2 linked regions of the Rattus norvegicus genome follow. The protein of the gene in region 1 purifies or fractionates together with the protein of each later gene. This does not show direct contact. Links are inferred from orthologs where the notes say so. Each region holds a gene or a part of one and is shown in the gene's direction. Other genes may lie near its edges. The genes, in order: Dhx8 and Nkap.

Region 1 (3,235 bases):
GTCTCCTTTGCTCTTACTGCCCTGATAGGCACAAGCTGGATGTGGTCTCCTGTGGTAAATCCACAGTGCGAGTGCAGAAGGCCATCTGCAGTGGCTTCTTCCGGAATGCTGCCAAGAAGGACCCCCAGGAGGGCTACCGGACATTGATTGACCAGCAGGTGGTCTATATCCATCCTTCCAGTGCTCTTTTCAACAGACAGCCCGAATGGTAGGTGGCAGGCTCTACACAGAGAGAGCCTCTGAATCTCCAGCATCCTCCATGTCTCCTTTTGACTTTGTATTTCTAGAGTAGCAAAACCCCAAATTAGATACACTAACAAGCTCCCCTTTTTCTTTAATATGTATTTGTGTGTATACAGGTGTACCTTTGTGCATGTCTGTGGAGGGCAGAGGACAGCCTCAGGAGGCATTCTCCTTTTAAGATAATCTTACTGCCTGGAGCGCACCAATTAGACTAGATTGGTTGGTGTCCTCGTGTCTCTGCCTCCTCGGCATTGAGGTCACAAATGCGCATCTCCATGCCCAGCACTCTGTTGGTGCTGAGGATTGAGCTTACTCTCGAAAGGCAAGCATGTTACCTCCTGAGTTGTCTTTCCAGCCCATAAATAGCCCTTCTAAGAGAAGTAAAATTATAGGGGTAAAAGCAGGGAAAGGGCTTAGAAATCATCTAATGAGATGGTCTTAAAAAGGCTTTGTGGGTTTTTGTTTTGTTTGTTTGTTTTAAGATAGGATCTTACTGTGTATCTCTGGTTGGTCTGGAATTTACTATGCAGACCAGGGTGGCCTGGAACTCACAGAGATCTGCCTGCCTCTGCCTCTACACTCAGTGTTGGTTTAAAAAGTTTATGGCTCATGCTTGTAATCCTAGCTCTCAGGAGGCTAACGCAGGAGGATTGCCTTGAGTTTGAGACCAGTCTGGATTATTCACATGGACACCCGGTCTCAAGTGAACAAAAACAGACCTGAGATGACTCAGCAAGTACAAGGTGCTGGTCAATGAGATGGCCTGAGCTTGATCCCCAGAACCCACAGAAAGGTGGAAGAAGAGAAAACACACACATGCACATGAGCATGCGCGTGCGCACGCGAGTGCGCGCACACACGCACACACGCACGCACGCACGCGCGCGCGCACACACACACACACACACACACACACACACACAGTGTGCCACTATACCTGGCTCTATTGCACTGCCTTGCCCACTTGGTCCTCACTATCCCTTGGTGATATCTCTGTGGTCCCTCTCAAGAGCCTTAGAATTCTATGGAAACTATCTGAGAAACCACTGGTTTATTTCACAGAGCAGGAAACTGAAATCTAGAGATGGGACAGGGCTGTTTTCACTGTCACTCAATTAGTTCATGCCAGAGACAGGACTAGAGCTGTTTCTCTGGGAGCCGTCTTGTATTGGAAGGGTGTGGGCTTGCAGTATTGGAGTGTGGCTTTGACAGTTTCCTAATGGATCAGGCAGGAGAAGTGATAGAATAAAATGCCAGCTCAGGGGCTGGGGATTTAGCTCAGTGGTAGAGCGCTTACCTAGGAAGCGCAAGGCCCTGGGTTCAGTCCCCAGCTCCAAAAAAAAGAACCAAAAAAAAAAAAAAAAAAAATGCAGCTCAGCCGTGGTCCCCTGTGGACTGAACTGGCTGTGGAGTGGGGTCTACTCTAAGGCTTGAGTCCTGTCTGTCTCCCACAGGGTGGTATACCATGAACTGGTGCTGACCACAAAGGAGTACATGCGTGAGGTCACCACCATCGACCCCCGGTGGCTTGTGGAGTTTGCTCCGGCTTTCTTCAAAGTCTCTGACCCAACCAAGCTAAGCAAGCAGAAGAAGCAGCAGCGCCTGGAGCCTCTGTACAATCGGTATGAGGAACCGAACGCCTGGAGAATCTCCCGTGCTTTCCGGCGGCGCTGAAAGACAGCTGACCACTCGCCTCTCCTGCATTGTGGCTTCCTCTGGCTGATAATAAGCTAGTCCTGTGGTGACTTAATCTTAAACTGAGCATTTTCCAAGCCTGACTCTCTCCATAGTGTAAGACAGAAACATCTAAGCAGGACTTCGGCCAGAGCCTTTAATCCCAGCACTTGGGACACAGAGGCAGGAAGATCTCTTGAGTTTGAGGCCAACCTGGTCTACAGAGCAAGCTCCAGGATAGCCAGGGCTACCAAGAGAAACCCTGTCTTGAAAAAAAAATCACACACACACAAAAGAACAATTAGATAAGTTGTGTATCCTGGGATGGGCGAGGGGCACGCGTGACTGTGATGCCTGGCGGGCCCAGCCAGGGCCCCATACCCCAGCTCATGCTGAAGGAGTGAACCATGACTCTCATGTACCATGTTGGCCCCACTCCCTACCACTCCCTGGCCTCTGTACTTGGGTTTCTACCTCCTAGAAATATTTATTTTTTTAAGGAAACAGTGGTTTACTATGACTTTGTCTCGTTGGGCAGGGGCAGCTGCAAGGTTAGGCTCTCGGCCTGAGTTCAGTGTGGTGCACGTGGCAGAGCCTCCTGATCCCATAGCCTAGGCCTCTCTCATGTCTCCAGACATGATGCATGGGCCAAACCTCCAGTCTGTCTTTCAACACTGCTGGGCTAGCTCAGCCTTGACAGCTCCGGATTAACCAAATCTGCGCCAGAGTGCTTCAGTCTGGCACCTAGTGGCACCTTGATCCTTTGTCTCCTTCCTGCCACTGTCGTTGAGCAGTGTGTCCTAATTCCTTTAAAACAGCAAAGAACACCACTATGACAGTGTTACCTCACTGTCAGCAGAAAGCAAGCACTGCTCTCAGCTGCTTCGAGGTGACTTGTGGTCTGGGGAGGGACCCATACCTTCACTCCTGCTAGTGGTTTTCCTAGTGCCCCCTTCTGAGAACTATGGAGGTTCTGTGCTGATGAGAGACCCATCATCCTGCCAAGCCAGACTGGAGATGCTGGGTGCCCTGGGGATCTTGGGCTCATCCTGGGCCATGGGATCTCTCCTTCAGCCTCACGTTAGTAACTTGTAACTGTAAGTTAAGTGCTGAATAGTAGGCCAAATGCCTAAAGAGAGGATGTGTCCTTCCTGTTACCCTGTGGACTTACACAAGATCGAAGCAGGATCCCAGTATCCAGCTCCTGGTCTCTGTAGTAGAGCACTTGACAGTTGACAAGTGTGTGTCATCCTTGCATGGGGCCTTGCTAACTCTGTACTCCACTTTCAGTGCATTTCTGCCCCCTGCTCTCCCTTCT
Region 2 (4,512 bases), on another chromosome or scaffold:
ACTGCATCCCTTAGAAATGAGGGAAACTACGAAGTCTCAGGAATGTGACTACTGAAGCAAGATCTGCCAAGGATGACATCAACAGGTAGATTATGGTAACATGAAAGGGGGAAATCTCAAGAGGCTCTAACCCTAGACAAAGAACTACAGGCAAATAGGTAATGCTGAGAGCCAGGAGAAATAATAGTCTTCCCTCAGTTGATCATCCAATACCAAATGGTCAGTCCTGAAATCATAAACAGACAGGATATATATATGGATTTACTGCTGTACCTGGAACTGTTTCCAAGTTGGAGATATACACATACATATATACATACATACACACACACACAGAGAGAGAGAGAGAGAGAGAGAGAGAGAGAGAGAGAGCAAGCAGGTTATTGTAACAATGCTCCAGACCTTAGTAGGTTCCCAGACCTTAGCACAACTGACTCCATAATGGAAGCATCATTTGGGCTATAAAACTCACTATGTAGATAGTATCACCTGTCAAAACCAAAGACATAATCCATTTATAGTTCTGGGAAAGTCTCTAAAGGTGCTACTAATCTTGCCTTTGACTTCTGCAGTTTCACTTTTGGCTAACTGTTCTTGTTCATTGAAGTATATCAACCCAGGACATGTGTTTGTGTGTGTTTCTGTGCTGAAAAGTTCATCCTGAGAAAGGCTGGGGCCAAGCTGGGACCACAAACACCCAGGGTAGTTGCTGGCCAGCTAATGAAGACTTTCTACTGGCTGAAACCCATGTCCAAGCAGTCTTCTCTGGTGAAAACTTTACAACAGCTATAGTTACAGATACATGTAACAACAACTAAAGAAAAAGAGGCAATGAATTTAAAAGAGCAAGAAGAGGCCCATGTGAACGGTTGGAGGTAGAAAAGGGAAAGGGAAATGACATAATTGTATTTCAATTTCAGAAAAAAACTAAAAACCAAAATTAATATTTGAATGCTTTCACCTAAAAATAATACTTGATACATACAACTATGAATCGTCTACCTTATATTTTGCTGGGCTAGTGTATGATGGACTAGTTTAAGGGGCTTGATAACTTTGTTTTGTGGGACATTTGTGGGTGGCTGGAAACTAAGTATTAAGATTTTCTCTGGGTCGCTAAACTAATCGGAGTAAAACACACTGAAGTTATAAGAATGTATGCCTTCTAAGTGAACTGGACAACAATGATCTTAGATTAAAGTTTAACCCTAATCGTGATAAACCCTCTTTTGTTTGCTTAGGATTTAAAAAAAAGTGGGGGTGGGAGTTATAATACACACACAGATTCATACGCGCACACCATACAGGCAAATATAGTCCCACACGAAATACGGGGAAAATTGGCGGTGTTGCTTATATGGCTACTCAATGAACTACGTGTTGCATTCATCATAATGTTCTTTTAGGTATCTGGTGCAGTTTAGATTTCAGAAACCTCACTAGGAACTGGATGAGAGCGTGTCCCCAGTTTCCCGGCCGGCTTCTATATGGAGATACACACATCCCTTCCTGTTGGCTGCAAGGACTCCGAGTCCAGGGGAAGGGATTTACTGCTGTACCCGGAACTGTTTCCAAGTTGGTTTTTTTGTTTGTTTGTTTGTTTGCTTGCGTTTTTTCTAGTTCGGTCGCTGCAAGCTCTAAGACCCTAGGTATCCGAGAACCTTTAGGGGACAAGGAGAGCGCCTCCTTGTCCCGCCCCTTAGCCGGTTCAGCTCACACCACCATGGCTCCTGTGTCGGGCTCGCGTAGCCCTGTACGGGAGGCCTCCGGGGGAAAGCGTCGCAGTTCGTCGAGGAGCCCCAAATCCATCAAATCTTCCCGCTCCCCGCGATGTCGCCGGTCTCGCTCGCGCTCTTGTTCTCGGTTCGGTGACCGGAATGGCCTCAGCCATTCGCTGAGTGGCTTCAGCCAAAGCTCTCGAAACCAATCTTATCGCTCCCGCTCTCGATCGCGTTCTCGAGAACGGCCTTCTGCACAGCGGAGTGCCCCGTTCGCGTCTTCATCCTCGTCCGCCTATTATGGCGGCTACTCGCGTCCCTACGGGGGTGACAAGCCATGGCCTAGCCTGCTGGACAAGGAAAGGGAGGAGAGTCTGCGGCAGAAGTGAGTGAGATCGCCGCACCCTCTCTTGGACGATTCCGCCTGCCTTTGACTCCAGCTTGTCGTTCATTGTTTCTGTTTTGTTTTGTTTTTCCGCTTCTCGCCCGCCTAGCACCTTTTTCATCTCTTTTTCAATCCACCCCATGACATTTTTATTTATCCTTCCTAACTTACATTTTCATTCATCCTTAGACTTCTTCATAAAGGGATCTGGTTTCCCACTACCTATTTCCCCCTCTTGGCTTGCTGGCTGGTATCACAAAGAAGCTCGGCGCTATTGTATTTCTTGATTGTGCCATTATCCGTACACCTGTCTTTATTCCTCACTAAACTGTAATAGAGGTCTGTGATTTTATTGATCAGAGAATTAGTAGTACCTGCCTTTTGGTAGGCATGCAGCTGTTTCTTGTTGCATGAAGAATCAGAAAAAATTTGAGATAAGAGGATATTTCAGTGGAAAAGTTTTGCAGGGAATTGGGAAGTATTGTAATTAAGTGTATGTATTGGCTCTGAGGAAAAGGGATAATTAGATGAGGCTATGTTGGGAAAAGTCTTGTAAGTCTCAGCCGTGTTGACCATGAAAACCGATGTGGGAAAGAGATTGGATCTCCTCTAATGGGAGTTCTTAGTTTAAAAAGACACAGACCTTTAGTGGCAACAGCTATGAGTCTCTTGAGGGAAGTCAGAACAGTGTCATTCTCATTGATGTAACAAATTTAAGGCCACCTTGGTCTACATGAGACCGAGTCTCAAGAAATATTTAAATTCAAACGCTGGGCATGATGGCTCACTAAAGCCGATGCAGGATTGTCATAATTAATTTGAGGCCAGTCCATACTACAGAATAAATTAAAGGTAGGCCTGAGGCAGAGTGATACCCTGAGAGGCTTATATTGCTGCATTAGTCATAGTATCTAATATATATGACGTTTATTATGTTTGTTAAAAAATTATGTCTTAGGCACTGAACTAGTCCCCATACCATGTGTTTAAAAATACTAAAATTTCAAGTATTGCAGGCATTGAAGAACAAAACTTTCCAACAGTTCAGAGATGTTTTTATGTTTTTTCCCATCAGGGAAGCAATAAAGTATAACAACAAAGGGGGCAAGTTTCAGAATCACACTGTCAGAGTGTGAAGGCTTCGTTTGCCAGGAAGCAGGGTAGTCTTGGAGGAGTTAGACCTTTCTGAGCTTCACTTCTTCATCATTAAAATTCCGTAGAAGTGGAGCTGTAACTCAGGGGGAAGAGTGTGCCTAGTAGACCTGAGTCCCTGAGTTGGAGCAGCAACTCGGGTTGGGGAGAGGGAAATTTGTAACAAGGCTTTTAAGGTGTAATAATGTCCGTAAGTGCGTGGAAACAAACAAACAGTCCTGAATTCTTAGAGACCTATGGTATGGTACCCATGGAGTATGTCAGTCGAAAAGCAAATGCTGAACCAGGATCATGTCTGTAATCCCAACACCGAAGAGAGGGTCAGAACCACCAGGAGCTGAAGGCTAGCTAGACCCTGCTCCATGAGAAGATCCAGTCTGAGAGGTGTAAGGGGTTTACTGAAATGTTAAATGATTGGATTAAATTTGCATTCGTACTTTTGGATGATATGAAGTTCATTGTGCCTGTTAAACATTGTCTTAGACACAGCAGTAGGCTTTATACCTTGTATTTTAAAATAAGAAATTGTAACATATTATAGGAGCAACAGACATGAGACTTCTGTGTTTGTTATGGCTGGGCAGCCATTCTTCCCCAGCAGTTACGAACAGTTTCATCCCATCTCTAAATTGTCTGATTGGCAAAATACAAAATTCTCCCAAGTCTCTCTCTATATAGTTATCAATGCCTTTTCTCATGATCAAAGATGTTAAAACAAAAGAAAAGAAAAGCCAATTTTATCTTTTGTAGTGATTTTTAAATGTGAGTCACAAGCTGCCAAACTTTAAGGAATTCAGGCTTATTTTTTTCTTCAAAGAATTATTTTATGTATTTTTTGGGTCAAGGGAGTTGAGACAAGGTCACTATAGCTTTGGCTGTACTGGAACTCATTAGGTTGATAAAGCTGGCTTCAAACACAAAGGTATCTGCCTGCCTTTGCCTGCCAAGTACTAGGACTAAAGGCATCCACCATGGCATTCAGTATCATTTTTATTATTATTTTTAATTATATGTATGTATGTGTGTCTGTGTATGGATATGGATATGTCAGTATAGATGCCTTGGGAGGCCAGAAGGATCACATCTCCTGGACCTGGAATTATAGGCAGCTGAGAGCTAACCAATTGGGGTTGGGGATTTAGCTCAGTGGTAGAGCGCTTGCCTAGCAAGCGCAAGGCCCTGGGTTCGGTCCCCAACTCCGAAAAAAAGAAAAGGAAAAAAAAAAAGAGAGAGAGAGCTAACCAACTTGGATGTTAG

What was found.
Region 2: the proteins of Dhx8 (region 1) and Nkap purify together in Homo sapiens (co-immunoprecipitation; 3 studies listed by BioGRID and IntAct, with this or other methods). This does not show direct contact. The link is inferred for Rattus norvegicus from reciprocal best matches to the Homo sapiens genes DHX8 and NKAP.

The regions. Positions count from the first base shown.
Region 1 is NC_086028.1:87,202,006-87,205,240, forward strand, and holds the end of Dhx8 (ATP-dependent RNA helicase DHX8), read left to right. Parts: intron 1-28; coding exon 29-208; intron 209-1,697; coding exon 1,698-1,917; 3' UTR 1,918-2,421; downstream 2,422-3,235.
Region 2 is NC_086039.1:121,237,088-121,241,599, forward strand, and holds the start of Nkap (NF-kappa-B-activating protein), read left to right. Parts: upstream 1-1,626; 5' UTR 1,627-1,723; coding exon 1,724-2,103; intron 2,104-4,512. UniProt on the Homo sapiens protein: Acts as a transcriptional repressor. Plays a role as a transcriptional corepressor of the Notch-mediated signaling required for T-cell development. Also involved in the TNF and IL-1 induced NF-kappa-B activation.